Arabidopsis thaliana: one gene and its partners. The protein of the gene in region 2 purifies or fractionates together with the protein of the main gene of each other region. This does not show direct contact. Each region holds a gene or a part of one and is shown on either strand. Other genes may lie near its edges.

Region 1 (5,688 bases), on a different chromosome or scaffold from region 2:
GCTGTTGTTAAGTGCACGGGAACGATTTAGGATTTATGTAAGCAAAAATAGTTCGTAGTTAACAAAGTTTGACCACCACTCTTTTACCAAAAAAACAAAATTGACCACTCCACCACTTTTAGCAAAAAGTAAGTAATCTCGAGAAGGAAAAAAACAAAAGTCATTAGTATGGGTTAAAAACTTAAATACATGTACTAATCAACAAGAAAATAAATTTGGTGATTTTATTATATAAAGTATGGTTTTCAAAGTTGCTAACTCATAGGATTGTGCCACGTGTCAAGTCAAACGATCAGATGTTTACATGTGTCATTCAAAATTTAACTTTTTAATTCTCTAAAAAAATAGAAAATCTTAAAAAGTAAACAAATTTACATATACTAATTTATATGTCTATATATTTATAAACAATTAACATTTATTCAACAAAAGGAAAATTAACAAATTTGTCTTTAACTCATGTAATCATAAGTGAAAATAGAACATTTTGAGAAAAATAGCTTAGCTTACAGGACTTAACTTTTCAATTATTTTTATTTATTAATTTTAACTCATTTAATATTAATTTGCATGATGTAAAATTAACTTACGAGATTACGGCATATATAGAAAATATATTTTCAACAATGTTTGGTTTCTAAATATTTTTGTGGATTTTTTTTATATTAATTATTAGCCCTAGGCGTTTGGGTTTTCGGGTCGGGTATTTAGGGTTCGGGTTTTCGGGTTTAGAAGTTTAGGACCCGTTCGGGTAATTTAAGGTTTCGGGACATTTATTCAACAAAAAGAAAATTAACAAATTTGTCTTTAACTCATGTAATCATAAGTGAAAATAAAACATTTTGAGAAAAATAGTTTAGCTTACAGGATTTAACTTTTCAATTATTTTCATTTATTAACTTTAACTCATTTAATATTAATTTGCATGATGTAAAATTAACTTACGAGATTACGCCATATATAGAAAATATATTTTTTAACAATGTTTGGTTTCTAAATTTTTTTGTGGATTTCTTTTTTCTATTAATTATTAGCCCTGGGCGTTTGGGTATTCAGGTCGGGTATTTCGGGTTAGGGTTTTCGGGTTTAGAAGTTTAGGACCCGTTCGGGTAATTTAAGATTCCGGGTCGGGTTCGGGTTCGGATTCGAGTTTATTTATATATTGAAATATCAAATTTTGTGTGCAAATCTATTAAATTACTTGAAAATTTCAAAAATTCCCAAAACAACACGAGTAGTTTTGCTTGAATATATCTAAAATGACACAAAAATAACTAAAATATCCAAATAATCCTAATATTTTCTATATATAAGTATAAATATAACTAATATATACTTATATTTGAAATATGTTTGGATATCTATTCGGGTTCGGGTTCGAGTTTTTCGGGTTTTGAAGTTTAGACCCGTTCAAGTATTTGAAAATTTTCGGTACACCCGCCTAAATAGGCGGGCCTTATCTAGTGTTTATATAAAAGATAAGAAAAATATTTTACTCGGTTCAGTTTGATTATTTCAATTTTCTTTGGTTTGGTTTGGTTTGGTTTATATAAAAGTATAAACAGAGGCCTGAGCCGGCCCATCTTAAAGATCCAAATGCTTTGGGCCCAAAATTGATCTCTTCTCACTCGTCGAACCACATATTTCTCTGGTTTGAGTAGCCTCGGTATGATCTAAACCGGAAAAGGAGGTCAATTCCGTAATTTTAAATTTCCTTAAACCCTGTGCCTGGGTGAAATTTCCACACTTCATCGCCTCAAGGCAGAACCCTAATTTATCTCCGCGTCTTCTTTTTGCTCAGTAACAGGCCATCGGAGAAGTTAAGAGGCTAAAATGGATATCGACGGAGAAGATGTATCTAGAAGACTTCACGTTAAGTTCGTGACGAAGCTTGACTCTCCCTTCAAAGTTCCGGTCAACTCCGTCGCAATCCCTTCTAATGTCACTCGTCTCGGCCTCTCTTCCATCGTCAATTCTATTATCGAATCCGGTAGCCTTTTCTCTCCATCTCTCCCTGCAGTTTCGAATGCTAGTATTTATTCGTCTTTGTCTTTAAATTTGTCAAATCCTAAGTGTTACTTGGAATAGTGGTCTCTTTCTCATACGAGAGTTTGTTAGGTCTGCTTAGGAACTTGTTTGTACTTATGAATTAGAGAGCTTACATAAAAGCATATATTATTGTTCTACCTGTGATTATGCAATATTCATCACTGAGACTTTTTGGATGAACAGAGAATCCAGAGTGGAAAACTGAGCCGTTTGATTTCCTTATTGATGGGGAGCTTATTCGGATGTCACTCGAAGAGTTTCTTCTTGCAAAGGGAATATCGGCGGTAATGTGTTTCATCTTAATCTTCCACTATTCACACCAGCTAGTGTACTTGGAATTAGTCCATAGTGCTTTATCTTGGAAACATATACTTAATTAAGTTCATTGGTTCTTACAGGAGCGTACTCTTGAAATCGAATACATAAGGGCTGTGACACCACGGAAGGAAGAAGAACCCTCCTTGCATGATGATTGGGTCAGTGCGGTTAATGGTTCTTCTCCCAGGTAATATTTTTTCCTACTGCATTACTTTATGATGTAGAATTTCCTTTAAGCTGCTAGATGTCTTTTACTATTTCTTCTGTGACACCAGTAATTTGAATTAAAAACTCTTATTCATTTTTACGCACAACCACCTTGCCATATGGAAAATCATAGACCTGTATCTTTGTTTAATATATTCGACTGCCATATCATATGTTGTTAGAATTAGTCTTCATTTGTTCCAATTCAAGGCCATCCAGTGATCCGGATGATATCTAAGGATGAATATAGTCATTTGTTCTTGGTTTTAATGATTGTGTTAGTGGTTCTCTTGATCTCGCTGTTGTTATTTGCAGGTTCATTTTGACTGGGTGCTATGACGGATTAGGAAGGTGATCATTTGACTTATTTATTTAATCTTATATGCTTTTGATTATTTTCTATCCTTTTGTATTGCTTTCAAAATTTGCAAGAATCTTAGATTACTTGGTTTTTCTTCTGATCAGGGTATGGAGTTCGGCTGGATCGTGTTCACACATATTAGAAGGCCACTCCGGGGCTATCTCCTCTGTTGCTTTAGTTAATTCCAACGGTATGACCATCGCATGAGAAATCTATACTATGCCTGTTCTGTACTAGCAAATGATACTAACAAGAATAAATTTTCCCTTTTTTGGCTCATTGATCAATTCTTTGTTTTTCTTTGTGTTGATTTGTGCATCCAGATGCAGAAACTGTTACTGTAGCCACTGCCTCTAAAGATCGGACATTGAGATTGTTTAAGGTAATCACGGATGAGATATCATACTTAAAACCAAAGGTTTATTTTACGTCTAAGTAAAGATATCTCTCCCTGTCTGAAGTTTGATCCAGCTGAGTCTGTTGACTCTACTACGAAAGTAAGGGCATACAAGATATTGCGTGGACACAAGGCGTCAGTTCAAAGTGTTTCAGCTCAGAAATCCGGAAACATGGTTTGCTGTTACTCCTTTCACTTAACTTGTGTTTTGCAAGTATAATTTTGTTGCTATATTTCTTCGAGCTAAGCTGACCCCCTTTTTTTGTTGTATAATGGAATTTAGGTTTGCTCGAGTTCATGGGATTGCACCATCAATTTATGGAACACAAATGAATCTACTTCAGAAGGGGAGTCAGTATCAGTAAAGAAAAGAAAAGGAAATAATCAGGCCGAGGAATCTCAGTCAGAGGTACCGGATAATATGCATTCTTTTGAAACGTACTATCTACTCTTCAAATCAAAATAGAGAAATGTACTCCCAGTTGTGTTTTTCTGAGTTCCAAGTGTCTGATATCAATTACGATATTGAACTTCTTACAGGGAGAGGCAGTGACTTCTTTGGTTGGACACACACAGTGTGTATCATCAGTTGTTTGGCCAGAGCATGATGTAATTTATTCCTCTTCGTGGGACCATTCCGTTAGGAGATGGGATGTTGAGACAGGGAAAGATTCTTTGAACTTGGTATGCCTTCTCTCTCTCCTTTTCTTTCGTAAATATTAGGGCACACACCAGACATGTTGTTGCCGAAAAATCAGTGCTTTTGAAGTTGTTTTCGCCGGAAACTTAAAGCCGGTTTGTTTCTGTGAAATTGTAGTTCTGTGGAAAAGCTCTCAACACGGTAGATGTTGGTGGTGAAAGTTCTGCCCTTATAGCTGCTGGTGGCTCAGATCCAATCCTTAGAGTATGGGATCCTCGTAAGCCAGGTGATAGATCCATATGAACACACACCAAGTCAATATAACCAGACCGGTTTTTTATTACACAGTTGATAAACTGTCTTCATTTACTCTGTAGGAACATCCGCTCCCGTGTTTCAGTTCTCTTCACACTCATCATGGATTTCCGCCTGTAAGTGGCACAAAAGCTCTTGGTTTCACTTGCTCTCCGCTTCCTACGACGGCAAAATCATGCTCTGGGATCTCAGAACCGCTGTAATGACAAAGCACACACACTCCTTTCCGTTATAACCCACGGTTTTCTATCTTTAAAAACTAATCTTCTTCCTCCTTTTGCAGTGGCCTTTGTCAGTAATTGATACACACAATGACAAGGTAAAGTAAACACAATGTTATCTTCCAGCTTCTACTCTTTTAGTTCTTCTTGTTACTGAAATGGTATAAAACAACTTGGTTTTAAAGGTTTTATCTGCTGACTGGTGGAAAGGAGAGAGTGTAGTCAGCGGAGGAGCAGACTCTAACTTGCGAATTTCTTCCGGAATCGCAATTTCTTAAAAGGTATGAAATCCGAAATCTTTTGACCATTTCTTTTCTTACATGAAATGTGGAGCAATGAAACATTTACTCAGTTCCGTACGATGTCTGAGAAAATTCGATTCTTTTCTTACTCAGAAACACAAACGATTCATGATCCTGGAATGAGACTGTTGTAAGTTCTGCTGAATAGAGCTTATTGTCTTCAAGGTTGTATACTCTTCATATTCCGAAATGTTAAATCTTAATTATACTTTTGGTGGGAAGCAAATTTTGTTTTTATTGTCTGATAACGACCATTTAAAATCAAGAGCTATTTACTTATGTTGTCTGCCGTGCTAAATACTAAATTAGTTTGCTTTTCTTTGGCCGAAAAATAAAATAGCATCAACTACAAAACTCTACTATCTTCGTTCCCCAATAATACAATTCCAAACCATGTGCTGAAAATTATCGAATACATTGGCAAAAAAGGACTATATTAAATAATTCCCAATCAAAAGTTAATCTTGCCATCGTAAGGTTGTTTGAAGTTTGAACTGCCAATTAGGTGGAGCAACATCATGAAAGCCCAAACATTTCCTATCACTTGTAGTGACATTATAGGACAAACTCTCTCCGGTTAGCTTCAAATTAGTATCCCAATCCTGTCCCCAATGCCAATGCATCTGAAACCAACCACCTCTCTTCGAACCTTCCACCTTAAGCTACATCACCAACATGTTCAACGTTGTAAACAAAAACCATCAAGAAATAAGGATATATCTTCCTAAGCGTTTTGAATATTGGGACCGATGAACTCGATCTCGACTCGGTTTGGATCAATCTCATCGGTCCCAATATTGAATGAGCTAATAGAGGTTCTTTCAAAAGAGCTTTTAGACACCAATTATCTAAGCTTTTCCAAAGATGCAACAATATAC
Region 2 (6,061 bases):
TTCGCTTTTCAGTTTAGCTATAAAATTTACATGATTCGTTAATTTATTATATATATATCGAGACTAGTCCCTAAACTAAATACGTGTAAAAATGATTGAAAACAGGGGTCTGGATAATGCATTGTCATCTAGATGCACACATATCGTGGGGACTAGCCATGGCTTTTTTGGTTGAGAATGGAAATGGAGTTTTGCAGACAATAGAACAGCCTCCTCATGATTTGCCCGTTTGTTAGGAGTTCAAGAACTTTGTAACATAAAACCACATTATAGTTTTTCATGTTCTTCTATTCAATTGTTTTTTGTTGGTTATAGACGTAAACCGGGTCATACTCCTGAGTTGGCCCGGACCCTTCAGATTAAGTTTTCTCGATTATTGATGTATTCTTTTGACATTATAGTACCAAATCAAGTGCTAAGAGCCTAAGCATACGTATCATGAAAGTTTATTTTTTTCGTTTTTCTTTATGCTTAATTGACCCATTACTTCGATTTCTTTTTTTTTGTTAAAAGGTTTCATTCACTCGATTTGTGTATGACTAAGAGCATGAATTTGATATGTTAGAATTAGAATGAATGGTTGTTGAGCTAAATTCCTACTTATTTCCATAATCAGCTTAGAACTTTTGCGATCATAATAAACAACATAATTTGTTGGCGTAATATTTGCTGAGTCAATATTGAATGTTGAAGTTATAAAGAAAGAAACTTATCCTAATTCCATTTTGTTTTAAAACGCATTGCTATGAATTGATGAGTATTATTCTTTTACGTAACATTATTGAATTTGAACTTGAGAAGATGATAACGAAATTAATTGAAAAAGAATAAGTGAATATGACATCAAGAAAAAGTGGCCTGAAATTCCAAATTAGTTGAGCAGAAAAGTTTGGGGCAAAGTGATTTCCGACGCGGATTAATCATAACATCGACATTACTAGAAGAAACAAAAGTTGTCATGACTTTGTTATATTTTTGAGTACTCAGAGGGCTAATTTTATAACAAATGTAACAAATGATAATAATAATATAATTCTTACACATGCATGTTGCCACTAATCTACCGAAATATTAGAGTAGACAAGAAATTAACGTGTAATAATTTGTAAGAACTCCGATTGTCATATTTGATTTAATCCATACAAAAAGGTGAAAATCCAAACTAAATCTTACCGTAGAAAATAAAACTTAGGTCGCGAGTGTGAGCTTAGCTATAAACACGCAAAATATATAAAAGAATAATTGATCTTTTACATGATAGATATTCATAAATTTTTAAGGCATTTGCAAACCAATTAAATACTAAAATAAATAGCAAACTAAACTCATTTGTCATCTTAAAACCTAACATATATATTTTAAAATTCACTAACCAGATAATATCTATTATACAAATTTTAATAATTGTTAATTTATATTGGCGAAAATCATGATATATAACTATTATCAGACACTTTAGAATTGGATCAACCAAGAAGAATAAAAAAGTTTTAATCACAACCAAAAAGTCTATTTGTCGTTTTCACTTTTCACCATTCATCAAACACCACCACAAAGGTTTTAAATTTTTTCTTTTATCGTCTTCACGAAAGGCCCATTAGTATATAGGTCCATTATCTAAAACCCTAAATCTCTTGTTACGCATTCCCATGCCTTGTTCAATAAAAAATTATTCTCAGGCCCATTAGAGAGTTACGACTTCAACCTAAAACCCTAAATCTCTTGTTACGCATCCCCTTGCCTTCTTAAAACAAATTTCTTCTCAGGCCAAAACTCGCCTCTGGAAGCTCCGATGACGAAGAGGAGCAAAGGAGCTAACGAAGATAAGCTGATAGAAACCAAAAGCAAAAACGTTTCTGGAAAATCTCAGAAACAGAAGAAACCAGTAGAAGCAGAAAGCTTAAAAGAGGAAGACCTTCTACAAGCATCCGGAACTGATTCTGATTACGACGGAGATGTATTCTTCTTGCTCCTCTTCTCTTTTGTAACATCTTTATTCTGCATTTGATTTATTCTGGTTTTTTTTTTTTGGGTGATTTTTAGAGTTTGCCTGGTTCTTTGAATTCCGACGATTTCGACTCCGATTTTTCCGATTCAGAGGATGATGGAACACATGAAGGAACAGAAGATGGAGATGTAGAATTTTCCGATGACGACGACGTGCTTGGTACTTTTCTTACTCTGCTTTTCGTCTAAATTAGCTCAAATCTTAAATTTTTAGTGTTTATGCTTTTGAATTGAAGAAGCTAATTATAGTGTGTTAGAAAATACTTGCGGGAGTTTATAATGGGGGAATAAAGTTTCTAGCTTTAACATGGGAAAGTAAATTCAAGTAAGAGAGATTAACTATGTTAGGATATGTTGGTGCAGAGCATGATGGGTCAATTGATAACGAGGATGATGATGGAAGTGAACATGTAGGTAGTGACAATAATGAGGAACATGGGAGTGATGAAGATTCTGAGCGAGGTGAAGCGGTTGAAGAGAGCGATTCCTCAGAAGATGAGGTTTGATGCTTTTCTCTATCTCATATTGGTCTTGAATCTATCTTTCTCCATTTCCAGATGAAGTTATAGATATTTTTGTATCTTTAATCTGTAGGTTCCATCTAGAAATACAGTTGGGAATGTTCCCTTAAAGTGGTATGAAGATGAGAAACATATTGGTTATGACCTCACTGGGAAGAAGATTACTAAGAAAGAAAAACAAGATAAACTCGACTCTTTTCTTGCAACTATAGATGACTCTAAGACTTGGTCAGTATGAAGACTTTTCTGTTTGTTGGTATGTGGTTAGTTGGTGTCATAATGCTGATGAAAGTTTTTGGGGATTTAGGCGCAAAATTTATGATGAATATAATGACGAGGACGTTGAGCTGACTAAAGAGGAGAGCAAGATCGTTCAGAGAATACTCAAAGGGGAAGCTCCACATGCGGACTTTGATCCATATGCAGTACGTATCTGTTTTATGTGTAGCCGTTTTCTACTAATGTTATGCAAATCTCTTCAATTTGTGACCTTTTGATTGATTCTCTTGGGACCAGCCTTATGTTGAGTGGTTCAAACATGATGATGCAATACATCCACTCTCAAGTGCACCAGAGCCCAAGCGAAGATTCATCCCTTCAAAATGGGAGGCCAAAAAGGTTGTTAAGATTGTTAGAGCAATACGTAAGGGGTGGATCAAGTTTGATAAGCCTGAAGAAGAGCCCAATGTATACCTTTTATGGGGTGATGATTCGACATCTGATCAAAAGAGCAAGCATTTAACTTATATTCCTCCACCCAAGCTTAAATTGCCAGGTGAAAACTTTTCGCTGACTTTCTGTTGTTTCTCTTCCTCTCTTGGGAATTCCGTTTTCAAACTTTTAATTTGTACTATTTGGCTTTCCAGGACACGATGAATCATACAATCCTTCTTTGGAATATATTCCAACAGAGGAGGAGAAAGCCTCATATGAGTTGATGTTTGAGGAAGATCGTCCAAAATTCATTCCTACAAGGTATGTAACAGTTTCGCTTATTCTACTCTAATGTAGTTTCTTTGGTATTTGTCCGCTGAGCGTTTCAGTAAATATATCTGCGCATAGGTTTACATCTTTGAGAAGCATCCCTGCGTATGAGAATGCACTGAAGGAGTCTTTTGAGCGTTGTTTGGATCTATACCTATGTCCAAGAGTTCGAAAGAAGAGAGTGAGTACTTATCATCTCAGTTTTTGGTTTCTTCTTTGTTTTTCCCGTATTTTTTCTTACATTATGTTTCTTTTCTCCAGATAAACATCGACCCTGAATCTTTGAAGCCTAAGCTACCTAGTAGGAAGGATCTTAGACCTTATCCTAACTCCTGTTATCTTGAATATAAAGGCCATACAGGGGCTGTTACTTCAATATCCACTGATAGTTCTGGCGAGTGGATAGCCTCAGGTATTTCATTATTTTTTTTTTTTTTCAATGAGGTCTCTTTTGTTTTCAAGATGCTAATCTTGTATTCTTTTTTCCTTCAAAGGTTCAACTGATGGATCTGTCCGTATGTGGGAAGTGGAGACTGGTAGATGCCTTAAGGTCTGGCAGTTTGACGAAGCTATCATGTGTGTGGCTTGGAATCCTCTTTCCAGGCTTCCAGTTTTAGCCGTTGCCATGTGAGTGAGGATCTTGTGAATATGCTTTTGAATTTATTATAATTGTCTGTTGTGAAACCTTCTCATCTCACATTGCAGGGGACGAGATTTGTTTTTTCTGAACACTGAACTTGGGACTGATGAGGAACAGGAAATTACTAAAGAGAGGCTTCACTCAGGAAACATCCCAGAACCAGACGCATCTGGTAAGTGGCTTGGAATAACTGCCATCATCTCGTATGTAATTGTGATGAAATTCCAAATGATTAAATCTTTTTGGTTGGTATGTTTTGCACGACTTCATAGTTGCAGCAATTGTAACCTGGCTACCTGATGAGTTATATGGAGGGATTAAGATAAGACATTTTAAGGTACACTTTTGCAAAAGATTCTCCTTTTAACAGTTATTACATAAGGAAAATCTTAAACTGGTTTGTTTACTTTCAGAGCATATCGTCTATTGACTGGCATCGTAAAGGAGACTATCTCTCAACAGTGATGGCATCCGGGGAAACACGGGGAGTGGTATTGCACCAACTGTCAAAACAGAAAACACAAAGGCTCCCATTTAAGATTCGTGGACTTCCAGTCTGTACACTTTTTCATCCCAGCCTTTCTTACTTCTTCGTTGCGACAAGAAAGGACGTGCGTGTTTACAATCTTTTGAAGCCAGGCGAGGCCACCAAAAAGCTTGAGACAGGATTGAGAGAAATCTCATCAATGGCGATTCATCCTGGTGGTGATAATCTGATAGTAGGAAGCAAAGAAGGGAAGATGTGTTGGTTTGACATGGATCTATCTTCGAAACCATACAAGACTCTCAAGAATCATCCTAAAGACATTACAAATGTGGCAGTTCATCGATCATATCCGTTATTTGCTTCGTGCTCGGAGGATTCAACAGCTTATGTTTTCCATGGAATGGTGTATAATGATCTGAACCAGAATCCTCTGATTGTGCCATTGGAGATTCTAAGAGGTCATTCTTCAAAAGGAGGTCAGTTTTTACAGTGTATTTGATTCTTACAAGAATACACTATCGCATATTAACTTGTAAGATCGTTTATATTAATGTGTTTTGATTATTTTTTATGACTGCAGGAGTCTTGGACTGCAAGTTTCATCCGAGACAACCATGGCTATTCACTGCAGGCGCTGACTCTATTATCAAACTCTATTGCCACTAGATTGGTCGCAAACCATATTTTGACAATTTTCATCTCTTTTCTTCTTTGTTGTATTCACCACCTTTACTCAAATATTGTATCGTACAATTTTGTTATACTGGATTTATTATTGAGATTTCTAACTTGTAGCACTTCCAAAATGGTAAAGTCCAAAATCTTATTGTATCGATTTATTTGGCAGCGTTGGTTAAGTTGTGGCAAGTCCTTAAACCCAAATGTTGATTTGATAGTTTTTTAACGTTCACTCACAAGCGCCACGTCATCACCGAAATATCTGAAATATCTAATAAAGGCTTCTTCTTTCACAAATCCCAAACCTTTTTTTTTCTCTGCTAACGAAAAAAGCCATCTTCTTTGCTACTACTAATCTACTATTACACTGAATCGTTTGGGTTCTTCTTCTTCTTCAGCTGCTACTTTGTTCGAGTGATTGCTGACATGCCGTCAGCGTCGGAGATTGTTGACAGGTTTGTTTGTCCGTTTTTTTTGTTTTTGTTTTCCCGCTTGTGTATGTGTGCTAATTGTTCATTGTTAAAGATTTTGTTTTTACAGGATTGTTGTTGTTTTTGAGTGGTATCAAGTTCCTTAAAGTAACTTCTTTTGTTTGTTTAGTAGTTGAAAGCTAGAAGGTTTTCACTTTAGGGTTTTTGGGGTTTTTCGTAGACAGAAATTTGTTAATTTTGGGCACAATTTGTCTCTTTTGGATTACGTTCTGTGCGATTTGTGGCTTCGAGTTCGTGTGGGGTTAAGAGACTT
Region 3 (5,836 bases), on a different chromosome or scaffold from region 2:
GCCCAATAAACAACAGGCCCAAGCGCAGACCCTAAACAACTCTCAGCTCCAACGGTCATCTCCTGCAAAAGAAGACAAAACCAAAAGTACATCAAGATTGGATCAAAGGACAAAAACAAGGAGCTGTGCTGGAAAAGAAGGAGTGGTTTTACAAAACTGTTTTGACTGTCTAGGATCAATAGAGACCTGACATGTGTCAGTGAAAACCCTAGTGTCACTAAGATTATAATGCCTATGAAAGGAAACATGATGTAATCTTAAACCCTAAAGAGAATAATCAAGAGAAATGAAATTTATCTTCTTTATATTTAGCCTTTGAGCATCTTTACTTTCATTGGTTAAGAGAACACTGAAAGCAACAATTCATATGTATAAAAATCTGAAAAAATAATTCAACATTCTAATTCATTAAACGTAGGATTTACAAAAGTCCCACTTTGTCTCCCATTTTTAGTCATCGTTCATGATGGTTGTATGCGAATAGTTTGATGAACAACTATAATTATTACATTTAGTTTGTTTCCAACGAGCCATATGTCAATGTTTGTTACGCTACAATTTTTATTTTTCTTATTTCTTAAACTTTTTACTTTGGAATAAGTTGATATGTATATGAATCATCTACCATTTCTCGTTTTTTCACAATAAATCCTAAATTTTTTGAACATTTTGTCTATATATAACTTTTCCATGACATAAATTAACCTTAGATAATATTGTATCTAAAGGTATAAACTACCGTTCCAAGTCTGATTAAACTATTGACCCTAAACATTTTTAAAACTGTTAGATCCACAAGACGCACAACTAGTTGATTGCATAGTCTTTTGAAACAAGACAAACAAACACTATATCAAAACAATATCATCTTTCTAATTTTATTTTAGTTATGTCGCTATCTATATGAACGATTTTCCGATAAGCTAGTCATATGCAAAAGATTTATAAAAAAAGTAATATGTTGACGAGGAAAGTGATAGATTGATAAATTAAGAACATAAATGTTTTTGAAAAGAAATTATAGCTAAACTGTCATAAAATAAAATTATAAAATAGATTAACTTATATATAATAGAAGCAACTTCAGTTTTTTAAAACATTCATGGAATTAACGATGGATATCGAAGTTTATTGGTCAACCTAAAATCATACCCATACATTTTAGTATTTATTGGACGACCTCAAAAATCAAAGTCATTGTCGACCATTGTAATACAGTTAATGTCGCATACTATGCCTCTGAATCATCCATCCATATTTTGTTAAAACGAAGTGAGTTTGTTAACTACAAAATTTCCAATTATTGGACTATACATTATATTTTGTTTATCCACAGGGTTTTTCACATAAATTAAGAAAATACAAAATACTTAAGATCTTGAAAAATTATGTAAGTTATTTTCTTGCCGTCTCATTTTATTAAAGATAAAACAGAAAAAATAAACAAACAGGCCGAGGCCCAACAAGGTCAAGGCCTAGTCCAAGAAGCGAAACCCAAACATGGAGGAAGAGAATGAGAGGAGTCATCACAGAGCCAGGTGTTACGAAGAAAGTGAAACTACAAGTACAAGCATATAGTACTAAGTACTAGTCGCAATTTGGTCACAGACATAATTTCCTCGAAAACTGGGTACATTGTAATATTTCGTCGGAAAAACGTCGCAAAATCTAATTTTTAATCGCCGAGTAAGATGTTTGCGTCTTCTCAGAATCTCCGTGAGTTGAAGGAAAATGATTCGCGGCGGAAGAAACAACATTACTTCCGCTCCGGCGTTTTCGAAAGACGCAAAGAAGCTTCTTTTATGCACAGCCAACACCGTCTCTGTTTACAGCGTCGCCACTGGCTTAAAGGTTTTATCTCTCGACTCGAGCATCCTTCCTTTTAGGGTTTCCCTCTAATCTTCTTCTCTCATTAGCGTATGCGTGTGTGTGTTTTTAAGATTACTTCACTCGAGGATCATACAGCGCCTGTGACGTCTGTGATTGTTGATCCGTCTTCCGACGAAACCGTCAGTTACTGTTGGACTTCGTCGCTCGATGGGAAAATTCGGATTTGGGAGTTCTCTGCGCCGAAGCTTTTGAAGATATTTGATACCCACCTTCCAATTCACTCTCTGGTCTGTTAAAGTTCCATACTTTGCAGCTTATAAACAAAAATTTGATAACTTTCAATTGCCCTTTTCTAAGTGTCTGTTGGGACTTTGTAGGTGATGATTCCAGCTCAAGTGTCACATTCCGTGATTGCTTATGTTTCGGTTGAGGACTATTCAAGTGTGTCCAAAGATTTGTTTGGACAAATCCGGAGATATGATCTCACTCAAGACCCTCTTCATAGTGGAGACACTTTGAAAGAGGTCAGATTTGTGGATTAACCATTTTTCGATTAGCCTCATGTTTGATTCTATAATCATTTTTGTTAATGTGCAGATGGAAGAACCAAAACCTATTGTTTTAAGTCCCTCTGGAGAGTTTTTCGGCGTCTGTCATAACTGCAGTATACATATATGGAATGTGGCATCAGAGCACCTCATGCCAAAGGAGACGACATTACATCATACAGAGTTGATTACTGTTTTTGCTTTCCATCCCAATCAGAGAATATTAGCAGCCGGTGATGTAACAGGAAGAGTGTTAATTTGGAAGGATAATGGTATTGGAGAATTTACTTCAGTGAAAACTGAAGATGATACTGAATCTTGCACTACTTTCAACTGGCACAGCGCTGAAGTAACCGTCCTTAATTTCTCTTCAGATGGAGCACTTTTGTATTCTGGTGAGTCTGAGTTATTTTTTCATCATAGTGACTGTATCTCTGTGTGTTGATAAGGAATTCATGTTTCTTATATATATATATATTGAGTTCTTATGCTATATTTCCTTTGCTTGTGACTCTTTTAGGGGTAAAGGCAGGTGATTTTGTTGTTTGGGAGCTAGGTACAGGGAAGAAGCAACTTTTGCCAAAGATTGGATCTCCCTTGTTGTATTTCATCTTCTCTTCAGATTCAACTCTTTCTTCTGTAAGAGTTTTTCCGTTTACAACAACCGTAGAAAGCAAATGAAGTGTTTCATTAACTCTACTAAGATCAAGAATTTTCAGGTGATTTGTGCAGATAATCAAATTCATCTTCTTAAAATGCCTTCCATGGAGATATTGAGAACGATATCTGGAATCAAGGTTCGTTCTTACTATCATCCGAAATTTTTCCTTGTTATTGTTGGTTTAAGCATGCTCATATTGTATACCGTTTCTGTTGGAGTTAACTTCACATGCATATTGTGTTCTTTACTATGTAATAGCCTCCGACACCAGAGCGTCACGGGTTTATATGCTACGTCAAAACGCGGGATATATGCCTCACCAGAACTGTATCCATTGATCGTTCTTCCGGTATAGCTGCTTTCTGCACAGCGAATCATCGTGTTCAACTCTACAACCTTTTAAGTGACCATGACATTTCAGAGGTTAGCTTCCCAAAAGGCTTATTGAGTTTTGTATCTGATAGTTGTATGATTTTACTATTTAACAAACCTAACATATGCAGGTTCAAATTTGCGATCATCATCCAGACGATGATGATCAAGTCCGGGTTAGTACATTTTGTTTCTTCTCTGTAAGATGACATAGTTGTTACTAGTAAAAGATCCGCTCTCTTTCTGTTTTGTAATAATTTGAAGAATTATGGAAAATAGGTTCTCGTGACTGCGGTTGCTCTCTCTCGGAATGGCTCAGTAATGACTACAGCTGAGGCCAGATTTGCTGCAAGCAATTTCAGTGAAGGCATAGTTTCTCTCAAGTTTTGGGTATTTGTACCGGACAGCAAAACTTTCAGCTTATCGACAGTCATAAATCAACCTCACAGGTTTTTACTTCAATGTTCTTATAAACTTTTAAACTCCTTGATTCTCATCGTGAGTGTAACTTTTGATCCTTCTGTATTCTCACAGGGAAGCTGCAATTACAGCCATTGCCCTTAACCCCGCCCGTTCCATGGCTGTTAGTATATCTTCTGCTGGGGACTTCAAGGTAGGATTACAGAGTAGTGAAAAATGGATCATTTCCTTGGAATATCGTTTGACCTTTTGTGTTACTGATATGACTTTATGTCTGTCAAGATTTGGGTTTGCAGTAGCGACAAGAATCTGACACCTGAGGACTCAAACTGGATTTGTCATGGAGTTGGCTCTTATAAGTAAAAGATTAGGAACCTTTTAACATCTCTCATTACTTAGTCGTTGTGATGTCAAATGAAATTGATGTAATATTTTTCAGGAGAACGCCAATAACAGCTGCTGTTTTTTCCGGGGATGGTTCTTGTCTGGCTCTTGCGGCTAAAACAGTTATTACGATCTGGCACCCGTTAAAGAACGAACTCCTGTATGTAGTTGGAAAGGCAAATGCGGTAAGACTTGTATAACACACAAAAGCAATTCCATGTTCATTAGTTACAGTCATTGTTGAAATCTTAAATGATATGTAAATGTTTCAGCCAATTATGGAACTCTCATTCACTGGAGGAGGCTTCCTTATTGCTGCATCCCATGGTTCCACACCGCACTTATCTGTCTGGGATCTGATGACGTTCTGCTTATCATGGTCATATAGATTATACATAGAAGGTTTATTATTTATCTTTTTGATCATGAAATCTTGATTTTTTTGGTTGTCTAAGTATATTTCATTTTTCCTGTTTATTTGCAGCCATTGCTACTGAAGTGGACTCACCATACTTTGCAGTTTTAACATGGCTTCCAGAATCTGATAGGTTGGTAAAATCTAACGAACAGATATTCCGCGGGAAAGATGGTGCTATCCTCTTGTTTGATGGGTCAGGCCCTAAACCAGTAGCTATTTGGACTGTAATGAAGGTATATACTCTAAGGAAGGATTAATCAAAGTTCTCTCATTGCCGTTAAGAGACTTGATTACAATGTTTATTGCAGGCCAGAGGAGGAACACTTTCATTTGTGGAAGATGGTAAAAAGTCTCAGCCGCTTCTCGCGTATGTAAACAGGAGCCATGAATATGTTCTATTTGATCCTTATAGCGATGAAAAACTCGAGACTAGCGCCATAGATTATGAAGTTTTTCTTGCAGCAATAAGCAAAAAGAAGAAGAGATCTAGGAAGAAAGCATTGATGTCAGAGAAACCTTGGGAAACAATGTTTTGTGGATCAACACTCAATTTCCCGCCTTTCCCCGACTTGTGCGCTTCGTTCTTCAGTTCCCGGATGCAGAAAGAGGTGTGTGAGAGAGCAGATAGACAACCTGAAAGACATAGCTCTTGAGAGACCCCATATTTTGGAACCCAACTTGGATAACATCATTTTGTTGGTAGCCTTTTTGTTAGAGATACAATCTGATTCCTTCAGCTACTAAAAGGGTTGTTTTGATATTAAAAGGGCTTCATTCATCATGTAGAACCTGCTGATTTGAGGTGTATAAACCAATTCTCTCTTTAATACGTAAAAAAGTAAGGTCAATTGTAACGTATGGAAAAAGAAGAAGCTAAAACAGAGTAGTGGACGATAAATTATATTTAAAATTGTGACTGAAACATAATTTAACAAATTGAAAAACATAAATCGAAAGCAATTTGTGTTTTAAAGATCGTAGTCCGCAAGGTTGAGTGGGTTGCAAGTATCCTAAGTCGTATGTGGTCAAGCAGGAGGATTCATGGAGGCTGCAGGAGGAGACATCATCGGTAGGAGGGTCTCGGGGTCAAAGCCGTTGGCTCGTAGTAAGACATCTTGCGCTCGCTTCATCGCAAGCATGTTGTTGATGACGTTGTTGGAGAAGGTGCGGAATTCAGCCTCCAAAATGGTGACCCGCATATCC

The links. Proteins that work in one complex are often made in the same cells at the same time.
Region 1: the proteins of AT2G40360 (region 2) and AT5G15550 fractionate together in Arabidopsis thaliana (co-fractionation; one large-scale study listed by BioGRID). This does not show direct contact.
Region 3: the proteins of AT2G40360 (region 2) and AT3G26480 fractionate together in Arabidopsis thaliana (co-fractionation; one large-scale study listed by BioGRID). This does not show direct contact.

What each region holds. Positions count from the first base shown.
Region 1 is NC_003076.8:5,058,149-5,063,836, reverse strand, and holds AT5G15550 (Transducin/WD40 repeat-like superfamily protein), read left to right. Parts: upstream 1-1,692; 5' UTR 1,693-1,833; coding exon 1,834-1,990; intron 1,991-2,232; coding exon 2,233-2,333; intron 2,334-2,447; coding exon 2,448-2,554; intron 2,555-2,889; coding exon 2,890-2,925; intron 2,926-3,039; coding exon 3,040-3,125; intron 3,126-3,258; coding exon 3,259-3,317; intron 3,318-3,396; coding exon 3,397-3,507; intron 3,508-3,615; coding exon 3,616-3,741; intron 3,742-3,872; coding exon 3,873-4,016; intron 4,017-4,149; coding exon 4,150-4,258; intron 4,259-4,349; coding exon 4,350-4,486; coding exon of another isoform or gene 4,487-4,522; exon of another isoform or gene 4,523-4,570; coding exon 4,571-4,606; intron 4,607-4,693; coding exon 4,694-4,786; 3' UTR 4,787-4,789; exon of another isoform or gene 4,790-4,903; 3' UTR 4,904-5,138; downstream 5,139-5,688. UniProt on the Arabidopsis thaliana protein: Required for maturation of ribosomal RNAs and formation of the large ribosomal subunit.
Region 2 is NC_003071.7:16,852,367-16,858,427, reverse strand, and holds AT2G40360 (Transducin/WD40 repeat-like superfamily protein), read left to right. Parts: upstream 1-1,656; 5' UTR 1,657-1,792; coding exon 1,793-1,957; intron 1,958-2,043; coding exon 2,044-2,167; intron 2,168-2,370; coding exon 2,371-2,507; intron 2,508-2,601; coding exon 2,602-2,756; intron 2,757-2,835; coding exon 2,836-2,953; intron 2,954-3,044; coding exon 3,045-3,303; intron 3,304-3,394; coding exon 3,395-3,503; intron 3,504-3,590; coding exon 3,591-3,693; intron 3,694-3,773; coding exon 3,774-3,924; intron 3,925-4,006; coding exon 4,007-4,139; intron 4,140-4,217; coding exon 4,218-4,324; intron 4,325-4,424; coding exon 4,425-4,489; intron 4,490-4,565; coding exon 4,566-5,115; intron 5,116-5,219; coding exon 5,220-5,305; 3' UTR 5,306-5,548; downstream 5,549-6,061. Other genes in the region: LAC5 (laccase 5), read left to right, coding at 106-236; AT2G40350 (Integrase-type DNA-binding superfamily protein), read left to right, coding at 5,744-5,772. UniProt on the Arabidopsis thaliana protein: Required for maturation of ribosomal RNAs and formation of the large ribosomal subunit. Plays an essential role in cell growth and survival through its regulation of ribosome biogenesis and mitotic progression.
Region 3 is NC_003074.8:9,686,723-9,692,558, reverse strand, and holds AT3G26480 (Transducin family protein / WD-40 repeat family protein), read left to right. Parts: upstream 1-1,592; 5' UTR 1,593-1,731; coding exon 1,732-1,851; intron 1,852-1,940; coding exon 1,941-2,117; intron 2,118-2,207; coding exon 2,208-2,354; intron 2,355-2,427; coding exon 2,428-2,773; intron 2,774-2,898; coding exon 2,899-3,017; intron 3,018-3,097; coding exon 3,098-3,175; intron 3,176-3,297; coding exon 3,298-3,462; intron 3,463-3,542; coding exon 3,543-3,587; intron 3,588-3,690; coding exon 3,691-3,860; intron 3,861-3,945; coding exon 3,946-4,024; intron 4,025-4,113; coding exon 4,114-4,190; intron 4,191-4,270; coding exon 4,271-4,400; intron 4,401-4,487; coding exon 4,488-4,617; intron 4,618-4,699; coding exon 4,700-4,866; coding exon of another isoform or gene 4,867-4,890; intron 4,891-4,916; exon of another isoform or gene 4,917-4,941; coding exon 4,942-5,286; downstream 5,287-5,836. Other genes in the region: AT3G26470 (Powdery mildew resistance protein, RPW8 domain-containing protein), read right to left, coding at 5,659-5,836.